Schizosaccharomyces pombe: one gene and its partner. The gene in region 2 interacts genetically with the main gene of each other region. Each region holds a gene or a part of one and is shown on either strand. Other genes may lie near its edges.

Region 1 (4,898 bases), 700 kb from region 2:
TCTAAAGACTTTGTTTGGAATTAGCAAAAGCTGAAATTTAAAACATTCCCAAATGATCGTTTATAAACCAAAATTGTTACTGATTGTTTACAAATCTAATGTTGATTTAGTCCAACGAGTTATTTCATATCAGATTGATTGCTTGCGAAAATATTGCAAACTGGCGTATCTTACACAATCGAACCATGTTATAAAGTTCATTCACAATCAATAAAAAAAAAACTTCCGCGATTTAATAAGAAATCCTAATATAAGGGGGCCATATTCATGACTTCAACATGGGCATACCCAAATCATCAATTTATTTTTGTATACTATTATTCTGCATTATTTCATTCTATTTACAGTCTTCTAAAGATGGGCCTAAGGAACTAAAAGTCAAGTATGTATTTCTAAAAAAAGCCACAGCAAAGCAAAGAGGAGAGTCATCCTTGACAGATTCAGATTATTTTCCTAAGCAGCCCAATATGAACGCTACTTTGTTTATGCTTTGCCGTAATAGAGACATTAAGGACGCTCTTGTTTCCATACAAAGCGTCGAGGATCGGTTCAATCATCGCTATCATTACCCATGGACATTTATGAATGATGCCCCTTTTACTAAAGAATTTATAACAGCTACTTCAAAAATGGTGAGTGGGGATGCTACCTATGTCCAACTCAACAACGAAGAGTGGGGAATTCCTATAAACATCGATTTAAATCGTATGTTGAAATCAATTCGGGATATGACCGATGACAAAGTAATATATGGATTTTCACTGAGTTATCGGATCATGTGTCGCTTCAATTCAGGATTTTTTTATCGAAACAAAGCCCTTTCACATTATGATTATTACTGGCGCGTTGAACCCGGCGTTGAATATTCTTGCGATATACCTTAGTAAGTGCACAAGAAAAATTGACTATTTAACTCTTGTTTTTGTAATATGATAGAATTTTGTCACTAACCAATTCTTTAAGTGATCCTTTTCGAAAGTTGAGTGACGAGAATAAGGCGTATGGGTTTGTCATATCAATGACGGATTATTATGAAACCCTCCCTTCTTTATGGAACGTTACTCGAGATTTTATTCACCAAAACCCACAATATCTTGCACAAAATAACTCCTTGGATTTTATCGTTAATGACCACCAGGGGTTAAGTGGTGACTACAATCTCTGCCATTTTTGGAGTAATTTTGAAATTGCCAATTTAAATTTCTTTCGAAGTCCTGCATACACAGACTACTTTGCGCACTTAGATAAAAATTATGGATTTTTTTACGAGCGCTGGGGGGATGCTCCCGTACATTCACTGGCAGCATCGCTATTTCTGAACAAATCGCAAATACATTACTTTGAGGACTTTGGTTATTACCATTTACCCTGGTACCATTGCCCTACGGATGTACAGTCGCATGCGACAGCTAGATGTCTATGCGATCCGACTGGTACGATTGATTATTTACCCTTCTCTTGTGCTATTAAATGGTTAGAAAACATCAATAGTTAAAATACATATTACTTGTAATTCCCGAGATTACCTATTTTATTTTTGATATTTGTTTTAAAAACATATTTATTGTGGACATAAACAAAAGCTGATCGTTAACTAATGATGAAAACAAAAGACTGGGAATATCAAGTATTGACACAAATTTTTTAAGTTTTAGAACAATTTGCAAATATTGAAAAGTGTGGACCCTATAAAATAAGAAGGTAAAAAAAAAAACTGAAACGATTTTAAAAAGGAAAAATAATATAAAAAATCTAAGAATGAATTTAGGAAGCTATCAACAGGCATCTGACTTTAGTTGCCAAATTAGTAATTTCTTGTTCCTTGGAATCGTTCGTTCGTACACTTGCCAACAAACTTAATATCTGAAACAGTCGAGCGAACACCTCTCCTGCATTATCTAAAGCATTTTCAGCAGATTCGGCACGCCCAATACAGATTTGTATCCGATTTGCAATTGGCAAAACCATATAATCGCGAAATGTCATCAATGCAAGACGATGGACATTTAGTTTTTCCCTATTTGTGGAACAAAACTCATTTACTTCATAGGGTAATTGTGTTTTTTCTTGTTCATCAAACAATTTTGTCTTTATAGGTAAAAACACACCTTGAACGTATGGCAATACGGAAGAAAAGAAAAACAGCCATGTTTCTATGATACGATTCAAAAATAATTCTTCTGGAACAGGCGATAAACTGTCCGAAAGGCACTTGGTAGCCTTACGGAATAGTGTCTCCAAGTGTCCAACAAACTCATTCATCTTCGTATCACGGATAAGAGCTTGTAAATGTAATATAAGAATTCCATTCAAATCTTCAAGAGAATAGTGCAAAGCCTCACCCGAATATAAACTACAAACTTCGGATTCCACAATAAGCCAAGTTTCATCCGCGGATATGGGAACCAGGTTAAAGCGACCTTCTAAAGGAGAGCGAACTTTGCCCAATTTAGCAAATGCAAGAGAGGCTGCACCGAAGCCATTGATTATTTGATTTGTAACAAGTGATTGTGGGATGGAAGCGCCAAAAATTCCCCCAGCGTCTCTTCTTCCTCTTAAGAAATTTCGAGACCCGTTGAGCGTTTTCTGCAAAGCAGAAAGATCTAAACCATCTTTAGGCTTTTTATGCTTATGCGGAGAGAGGTTAAGCAGCGATAATTGAGTTTTCGTAGAAATACTTTGAACTTCGGCATTAACATTAGAAGGGCTAGTAGGCGTTAAAACGTTCAACTTTCCTGGGCGCTTGGAATGCTTACTCCAATGTGTTTCCTCAAAAACCGGATGACTGCTACTTTGACTAGATCTTCTGCTAAATGGCCATTGTCCATTAAACGGACTTTTAATGTTTTCAGTCGTGTCAGAGTCGCCAACGTTTGATTCCTTAGTAGTAACAGTCTCCAAGTCTTGGTTCTGCCCATTTTCCGACAACGAAATAGTGTTAGAAACACTTTCAATGCTAGTTTTAGTGTTTTTTGGAATCCAATTAATGGATGAGGCGCTCGAGGTAGATGAAAAAGATCCCCTCCCTACCATCTTTAGTAATATTTTTGGAAATGTACTGAGGGTATCCAAGAAATTTGCTTTTAGTTACGCGAAATGCGATTCTTCAAAATAAGCATGAGATGATATTCATTGTTCAATCATTATAAAATGATTAAACTTACTTAAAAAAATGATATTTTTTAGAAAGATAAAAAATTTTGTTTATTTTTGAATATGGTGGTATTTTGCTAAAGTATCGATGTGCGCCTTAAATTAAGATAAAATATAGAAACGAAAAATTGATTAAGAATTCCTTATAACGATATCGTTCTAATGTGAATTGAATGAATAGCATGTTGATATAATAATTGTATGCCAAAGAAAAAAATAGTTAATGCTAAAAGAAAACATGGAATGTTATTTGCTATATAACTTTTTAAAAGTTAGTAATAGAAAACGCAGTAAAAAAACATTGATTTTGTGAATTACTATCATTTGACAGAGTATTTACGGTACATATTACGACAATTCAGTTTAGTAGATGAAAAACAACAATATATATCTAATTTTCTAACAAAAAATGTAAACAAAATTGATTATGAAAAGAAAGGGAATAACGAAAACCAGTATTTACAATGTAAAGCTTCCAGCTAAGCTTTTCGTAACCCCCCTATCAAAAAATTTTTTGGTTGGCAAATGAGAGCAAGGTTAATATATGTTTTCGAGGAACAAGATTTCTCGTAATAATCACTTTTTATCGCACTATATAACCAATCCATTCAATGACCAAGTCTACGAAAACATACACTTTTACTTACTTAAAGCCTTCAAAGTGCTCTCCATGATATCCAAACCCTTAGCAATAACCTCATCTTTAACATTCAAACTAGGAAGGACACGGGTGTTGTTGTTTCCACCTGGTAAGAGTAAAAGACCTTGTTGACGAGCAAGCTCAATAAATTTAGCAGGGGGCTCGGTAAATTGCAAACCAAGAAGAAGACCACGACCAGCATATCCACGAATAAGATTAGGGTATTTGGCAACAAAGTCATCAAAACGTGAAGTAAGAGCCTTGTGTTGCTTTCTAACGTTTTGTAGAATCTTGGATGACCCTAATTCATTAACACAGAATGTGCCTACACGGCAAGCAACAGGATTACCTCCGAAAGTACTGCCATGTTCACCAGGGTGAATTTCAGCAGCGATCTTACTGGAGACAATGGTGGCGCCGATAGGTAGACCATTAGCCAAAGGTTTGGCAACTGTGATAATATCGGGACTAGCGACATCCTTAACGATACTATGGGCCCAAAGATCACCGCTGCGACCAAGTCCGCATTGAATTTCATCATAGATTAAAGAAGCACCAACCTTATCACAGGCCTTGCGCAAAGCAATCAAAAATTCAGGCTTGGCAGGACAAATACCACCTTCACCTTGAACGGGCTCGACAATAACAGCCGCAGTTTTGTCATTGACAAATTGCTCTATGGATGCAGGGTCATTATAGACGGCTTGGACGACATCAGGAAGTAATGGTTGGAAACCACGTTTATATTTGGGGTTCGCAGTGATACTAAGAGATCCCAAAGAACGGCCGTGGAAAGAGTTATTAAAGTAAACAATTTGACTCTTCCCTTCTCCATACTTCTCAAACGCTGCCTTACGAGCGAACTTCAAGGCTGTCTCATTGGCCTCAGTACCACAATTGGCAAAGAAAATTTTTGTGGGGCCAGCAATACCGCTATTTTTTGCCAAAGAATTATTAATGACATTAGATAGCTCAATGGCAGGCTCGTTGTAGAAAAGGTTGCTACTATGGACTAATTTGGAGCATTGATCAGCGGCAAGTCTAGCAACTTCAGGATGAGCATGACCCAAAGATGTAACAGCTACGCCAGAGGTGAAGTCAATGT
Region 2 (8,181 bases):
CTGAACCATACATGATTTTGTCAATAAGCTAACAGGGCATAAGGCCCACAATCTATCTTTAAACAATAAAATTAAAAAAATAAAATAGCAATAATAAGAGAAGGAGCCTACAGCACCCCGGATTCCCATGTTGTCTCCAACCATAGTACTAACGAGGCCCTCAGACGCTTAACTGCAGTGATCGGACGGGAACTGGTGTTTTCGCCTAGGTATGGCCGTAGACAATGTTTTTCAACAATAGTAAATTATATGGTAATTTTATGAAAAATTTTATGATTAACTGTTAATGAAAAGAAAAAGTAAAATAATGAAGACGACATTTTGTCAGTGTAGACTTTTGAGCATGAAATTTGTGAATGATCAAATTCGATTAATTGATAATATTTTTTACTACGTTTTATTTTACCAAAAGTATTTGCAACATCATATCGATTATGAAAAAAATTTTTTTTTAAACAAAGTAAATTAATATATTTGTTCTATTTTCATCTGTTAAAATTTTATTTATTTTTTACAATCTATTCGCATTTTTAATTTAAATTAATTTTATTATTTTTTTTATATCATTTTATTTTATTTTACTTTACTTTTTTACGGTTTTTTTTCCTTGCATGTCTTAAAAAAACGTTTATAACGGTAAATTTGCATACATGCTCAAAAGAGAAAAAGTCGCATATGTCAATAGTCTTATCTTTATAAAGAGTCCAAATTGCATAAAGCCGGACCATATTATAAAAAACAAAGATAGCTAATTGAATCATTTGAACGAACGTATCAAACATGTTCAAAAGGACACCTTAATCACATGACTTGTGCAATAAAATATTAAAACGGATTTTAGATGCGGGATGACTAATTTGATGTGGAGAAAAAAATAAACGATAGATGGTAATTACCAAATAGTTTCTTTTGAGTTGCAGAAACATTGGCAGGTAAGCTAGCTATACCATGCAACAAGGCCTGACTTGGCTTCCCCTTGTATAACATGTTCATTTGTAGTTGCATATTTGCAGATCATTTTTATACATATTCTACTTTTTCACAGACATGGCTAAGGAAGTATGTAAGGAGGAAATGTATGCTAATTTAATTCTCAACAAATCCATCTTGTTGCATTGTCGGCAGTAGAATTTTTGTTTTTAGTTATGAATTACTTTTTGAGTAAGTACATATAAGATGATAGTTTAAGAAGGAAAGTCGATCTACACACGTTTAAAAATTGTTGAAGCGATTCGTGCATCGGTCAATTGTATACTTTAAAGCTTTTCTTTCCTTAGGTCACATCTAGAACTTATTGAACACGATTTCAAGTTGTGAAGAGGAAAACGGATGCGATCCACTTTTACCGGAGCTGGATGATTTTTCCAATCACATTGTTTACATGTCAAAAAGGGAGCACAAGAAGTCGTAAAGCAAGGATCGCATAGAAAATGTAAAGGAAATTAAAAAAAAAGATGAATGAATGAATGAATAATAAATAAATGGAACAAAAAAATGAATGAATAAATTGAATAAATAGATTAAATAACGAGAACAGAAAATAGAATCTTAAAAAAAAAAAAAAAAAGGACAAACAAGGAAACCTTAAGGGTTGCGTATGTTTGTATGTGCTTTTCAGATTCACCCTTTATTCGATTTCTCAGTATTGTTTTCTTTGCCTGGCTGGCTTACCTTTTCCCGTAGATGCCAGCCATCTTGGTAAATGTACATCCCCCACATAGACCCATGTCCCCCAGTCGACTGCAAACATGAACCACTTTGCTACTAGCTAAAAGGAACTGACTACAACTTTGAAAAAGTTCCTATGTGGGGGTGAGGGGGGAAAGAAAAATGCGGAGGAAGTGTTTCGGGAATACCGTGTTTCTGCCGAAGTCTTTGCCGGTCGTGGACCGGGTGTCCGAGGAATTCCCTCATGACAACGAAGCCGAGGGTGTCGCAAATGGGATAGCGAGAGAAAAAGAGAGAGAGCAGCTGAAAGGAAATAGCGATGAGAGACGAGGAAGAGAGAGAAGAACTGAGTAATGCGATAGAGGAGGAAAAGAGAGGTGTGTTATAGCACCACACAATTTTGAAATGTAAAATAAAATCAAAGACATGATGAATCAATCATCTTTGTGATAAATCAATTCAAACAATCAATGGTGCTTTTGTGCATAGTCAATCGTCCATTGACTATTCAACTCATTGACCTATTCAACCCATGACAAACATAGTGTCGACCTTAGCCTTTTCTCATCCCATTTTATTTTTCATCCTACATCTTTACGTCTACAATTTACGCATCCCTTCATCACCAACCCAATCCTTCCTACACCTATCTCCATCTTACAAATCTTACTCATTCATTTGATAGCTAGAGCCATCATCCTGTATATAGACTCAAAAAGAATGGAATGGGCCTTGTCTTTTCCATCTTTCTCCATGATACGAATTTACGGACTAGTGTGCTTGTCACTTTCCACTCGCTAATCTCTAGCACGTGGAATGCAACCGCACAGGGAAACGAGGATGTAAAGCACCAAGCAAAAGCAATGCAGTGGAATACGAAAACGGTGTGTGTAACGACATAAAAAAAATCTCATTCTTATCAGTAATGATTAGATAGTGTCTTGTTCTTTGTCTTTGTTTTTGCTTCTTGACTTGCCCGATATACTTGTATTAAAAATATACTCCATAGTACCGGATTTTACGCATTGCTGGGATGTAATAAATGTGTGATATTATTATTTTGTTACTGCAGTGAAATTGGGTTGGTTCGTAAATTGAGGTATAAGCTTGTTAAACAAAATGGAAGAGAGACTGATAATCGTAGTAAATGAACCAATAAATGGAAATGTATTTGACCCAGAAAATCAAATGATTTCAGCAAAGAGAGATTGGAGGCAAAAAGAAGAAAAAGAAAAAAGAAAATGGCCAACCGAGAAGAAGAAGAAAATTTTTTTAGCGGAAGAGAGAAAACATTTTGAGAAATTTAACGAGGAACGAGTAAAAGAGTAAAGAGAAAATAAATAACAAAAGAATATATAATGAAAGAATTAATAATCAAAACATTTACAATTTAACTCTAAAATTACCATTTACCTCTTTTTCTTTTTCTTCTTCTACTATACTTCTATCCACTTTACTCATCTCTTCTCTTGCCTTTTTTTTTTTTCTCTCTCTCTCTCTTTCTTTTCTCTTTTCTCCTTTCTCTTTTTGCTGCCCTACTCCCGCTGCCCTGCCGACGTCCTTTACCCTGTTTTTCCTCTTCTTCCTCTTTTCCTCGTTTTGCTCCCGGAAAAACGATAAGCTTTTCTAACGTGTTTCCTTCCCCTAACCTGCAATCTTCACATTTGCATCGGCAAGGTAGCAGGGGCGGTAGTTACGTTGGACTGGGGTGGCTAGATTCATCTTTAAAATAGTAGGGTCAGGATGATTGTACCATAGAATTGTTTTTTGTCCTCTACTCTTATCTAAGATTTGAAGGCATATCTATTGCAAAAGCAAAAGTATCTGAAACTTCGATGACTGCGTATTTTTTCATATAAAACGATATTGACCGGCATTGTTGAGTTGCGAATTGCGTTTGGAAAACCAGCGGAAAAAAAAGTAGGACATAGCAAATTGATTGCTTAGCTTTTGTAATAAGAAGGGATCAGGGCTGTTGTTGTTTTCTTGGTTTAGAAAAAAACAGAATCAAAAATAATAAAGCAAAAAAGAATATTTTGTTCTTTTTCCTCCACTCCCCATTTTATTTCACCCAACGGACTTTGTGTGAGAGCGATTATCGGTTCGTCTGTTATTCAAGACATACTTTGTATTATTTGGGTCTTTCTGTTGCTTGTGTGAGTGTATCTGTGTGCGTGGGTTTTTTTGTGTGTGTGTGTGTATCTTTTGTGGTGTGTATAATTAGTTATCGTTTTCAATTTGTTTAATTTTACTCTTCTTCTTTTAATTTGGCAATCCACTTTTTCTTTGGGCCATTCATTTCTATACTATACTAAATACCCTATACCCTCTACTTTATAATTTTAGTATTCTTTCCTTGGATTCAATTATTGCTTTTCACTTTAAAAAAAAAAAACAAGAGTCGATAAGCATTTCATTCCCATTTTCTTCATCATTGATTAGTTTTATTTTATTTATAAATTCTCTATACTGTCTTGATCCCCTTTTTTATCTGCTTTGGATTTACCTATTTTGAACTCGTTCCCTACAAACTTTTACATAGCAAGTTAATTCTTCCTGCTGTGTTTATAAGACATATAGATTTTTATACATATATTATATTTCTGTTCCTTTTCTTTTTTCTTCTTCTTCTTCCTAATTCCCCTCCCATTTTTGCTTCTGCGTCGATTGTTACTGCGTACGTTGCAGCATACTCTTCATTTTCTTCTAGCTGTCTTTTCTTATTCTATTTTTTTATTTTTTGATACACGATGTCAATTCTTAATGTCATCCGCTCCCATCACGACGTGGAACCACAGAATGTTGAAGAGGAGCCTCCATTGACCGGGCAAACTATCGTTACCGAAGACAAACTAGAGACTTCTGCCAAAGACAAGAAACATGAGTCACCTAGTATGTCGGAGGATGAAGAGGGCTCGGTGGAAAATGTTGATGCTTGGGATCTCACAAAGGCTCTTATGTCCATTGATCCCAACCATCCCGCTCATCCTCATAAATGGCCCTTGTGGAAAAAGTTGTTTGTTGCTACCGTTTACACATTTTTAGAGGTATATGTCATTTGGTCATCCACCGCCTGTATCAACTTCTTTGATATTTATCAAACTAATTGGCATTGCAGTATTCAAGTCTCCTATCTTGTACAAAGTCTTTTCATTGTCGGTAATGCTTTTGGTCCCATGCTTTTAGGTCCCATGTCGGATATTTTTGGTCGTAAATGGGTTTATGTTGGCTCTCTAATTCTTTATATTATTTTCCAAATTCCCCAAGCCCTTGCTTATAACTTACCCATGATGGCAATCAACAGTGCTATTGCTGGTGCCTTTGGTAGTTCTGCTCTCGCTAACGTTGCAAGTAGTATGTGTGATATCTTCACTCCTGAAACCGTCGGTTTTGGTATCTCTCTATTTGTTTGGGGTGCAAATGCAGGTGCCTCTATTGGGTCCCCCATTGGTGAGGCTCTTTATGATCATTGGCGTTGGTTTTACTGGATGAATATGATTGTTGGTGGTTTCTTTGTAATTCTTTGCGTATTGTGTCCTGAGACCTTACCTGTCATCAACATCATGAACTATTCTTCTACTACTGGAGAAAAAACCGTTCAAGTCTCTACTCTTGCCAAAGCTAAATCAGCTGTAGTTCGTACAAAATTTGTCTTATCCACCGCTTTTAAACTTTTGTGTACAGAGCCTATCATTATGGCTTTGGGTTTGTATAACGGCTTTGCGTATGGTTTGATTTTCCTTTACTTGGATGGACTGTTTCCCGTATTTGTCGACAACTACAAAATGGGATACATGGGTGCAAATCTCACTTATTTGAACTTTTTGGTTGGTGTCACCATCGTTGTTATGCTTCAACCCATTCAAAATTGGCTTTATCGTTGGGATAAAAGGCGTCATGGAGGTGTAGCGCGTCCAGAAGCACGTTTCTTGATTTCTCTGCTTACCGTTTGGTTTTTCCCAGCAGGCTTGTTTTGGTTCGCTTTTACTTCAGATGGCCGAATTTCTTGGGTAAGTCCTTTAATTGCAGGTGGTGTTTTAGGTGTTGGTGATCCTCAACTTTGGCTTGCCATGATTAACTATATTACTGATTCCTACCCATCGGTTGCTGGCTCCGCCATCGCTGCTTTCACTTTACCAAGTTTTGCTATTGCTGCTGTTCTTGTACATCTTGGTATTATCATGTTTGACAATATGACTACCACTTGGGCCATGGCAACTTTGGCTTTTATTAGTTTGTCGCTTGTGGCCACGATTTATGTTATTTACTTCTTTGGTCATCTCATTCGGAAACACAGTCGACTTGCCGTTACTCAACAAGCATTACAAGAAGCACATGATGCCAAGGTTTTACCTGAAGTGTAGTGTTTATTCCATCATTTCTCCCTTTTATCATTCATGTTAGCATATGTAAAAGTTGTTATGTTCGTATTGATATACACTCATCCAACTTTCCTTTTACTGTGAACACCCGATTATGTATGTACCCCTTCTTTTTTGGCAATATGCATCTACTTCTTTTTGTCGATAATTCGCTATTCTTTTCTACCTTTTTTGTACTAGTTATTGTTTACTAATTGAAATCTGTCCTACTACAGCTATTGCAGTTGAAATTACAGTCGTCTTAAAAAATATAGCTTAAAAAGTTACGTTTATTAAAAAGCTGCCTTATAGCACTCGTAATTTTTAGTCGCACAGTAGTTTATACTTGCAAAATAGCAATGTTTAATAGATTATGTAGTATTATATTCCTAATCGGCTAATGATGACTGGAAATGCGAGTTTCAATCCCCATGTATTCTGGACGACCGAAACAGCATTGATGGTTTTAGCGTAGACCGACTGTGTAGATGTATTAACTTCAGACACTGAGCTGACCTCTTCTGCTCTACATTGTCTTTCCAGAACGGCGATCATAATCGATGTCAACCGATTCATCGACAATTCCCGAATTCCAAGTAGCAATAGATAGCATGTCGTTTCTTTGAACATGTAGTTGGAAAAATTAACACAATTTATAAATTACATACATATAGTCAAAACACAACCTGCGTCTCTTTTTTAACATACAATATGTCCAGCACTGAACTTTCAGAAAAGGATTTAGCTTATCTACGAGAGGCCATCAAAGTTTCTCAGCAAGCTCGTGATGAAGGTCAACATCCATTTGGATGCATTATTGTTGATGAAAATGACAATGTTATTATGTCTGCGGGAAATCGAGTTCCAGACGGGGATGTAACTCAACATGCTGAGACCCGTGCCGTAGGTTTGATTACGAAGACAAGAAGAGACCTTGAGAAGTGTACTCTGTATACCAGCACGGAGCCTTGTGCCATGTGTTCTGGTGCTATATTTTGGTCTGGTATTCGCCGAATGATTTTTGGCTTATCGAACGAAAATTTGATTAAACTGACACAGAAAAGTGGTGAGTGCCCGCCTTTATACATTAATTCACGAGATATTCTTGGAGCTGCCTCTCATCCTATTGAGGTGGTGGGTCCCTACATTGAAGATGAAGCTATTATCCCTCATAAAGGCTTTTGGGATGGAGGAAGATAGCTGCTTCAATCTCATATGTTAATGTCAAAAGCATATTCCTTGAAACTTTGCTAATACGTCCACACGTTTTATCGTTTCTGCTAGCTAGTAGGGTAGACTCTGTTCAATGTTTATGAACAAATGTAATTATTCTATTTCCTCCAATTGAACTTCTTAGTAATTAAAACTGTAATTACTTCTATGCTCAAATTGCAATATATCTTCGTGTACAATATTTACTTTCTTGCCATGGTATACAAATATCAATACGGGCCTCAGGCAAGTTACAAGATTAATTCGTTTTATAAATTAAAATTTTTAATGCCGCTTTTGTTCAACCGAATGCCTATGATCCTATTCAAAATCATTAGTGACCAAAGTGGGTTTTTTGCTCATATCACCAAAAAGAAAGTGTATAATGGTATGGTAAATATAATCTGACTGGACTAAATTTCTCAGTTTATTGCTAAATCCTCCTAGAAAATGGAAACAGTTTAGTGTTTATTACACACGCGAAAATTATCCAAAAAATGAAGGTCTTCAGCATAACTCTTGTTGGGATCACTTAACCCTACTTTCACGAATCAATCATTTACCAAGAATAATCATTTTTTTTGTGCTATTTAATATTTATTTACTAAAAAGTAGATAAATTAATTAAATCAAATGACCAAGTCTCAAAACAATTTCAAAGCATAATTGCTTTTGCATTCTTACTTGAACTCTTAACTCAAGCGCGCACAATTTTATTACATTCCACATATTAAAAGGAAGTGTCACTCCTTTTTGCAACAGAGTAGCATCAAACTACAACTCTAAGAGATTTATTACCTACTGTGTTTCTTTCGGGCGCACTCAAAGTCGGCAAATTTTTATGGGGAATTAACATATTACACCGCGATGAAGATAACAATATCAAAAATCCTACATGAAAATGATAAGACCTAATCTTATCAAAGTATTCTGACTTGCT

The links. Genes that interact genetically often act in the same process or in processes that back each other up.
Region 1: mutations in SPOM_SPCC965.13 (region 2) and bit61 together harm fitness more than expected from each alone (negative genetic interaction), as found in Schizosaccharomyces pombe (one large-scale study listed by BioGRID).

The regions. Positions count from the first base shown.
Region 1 is NC_003421.2:1,609,532-1,614,429, forward strand, and holds bit61 (Protor homolog, Bit61), read right to left. Parts: upstream 3,233-4,898; 5' UTR 3,034-3,232; coding exon 1,765-3,033; 3' UTR 1,516-1,764; downstream 1-1,515. Other genes in the region: alpha-1,2-mannosyltransferase Omh3, read left to right, coding at 279-883, 964-1,495; arg1 (acetylornithine aminotransferase), read right to left, coding at 3,793-4,898. UniProt on the Schizosaccharomyces pombe protein: Component of TORC2, which regulates multiple cellular processes to control cell growth in response to environmental signals. TORC2 is required for cell survival under various stress conditions.
Region 2 is NC_003421.2:2,308,062-2,316,242, forward strand, and holds SPOM_SPCC965.13 (pyridoxal family membrane transporter), read left to right. Parts: upstream 1-3,437; 5' UTR 3,438-4,418; coding exon 4,419-6,032; 3' UTR 6,033-6,339; downstream 6,340-8,181. Other genes in the region: SPOM_SPCC965.14C (cytosine deaminase), read left to right, coding at 6,741-7,229.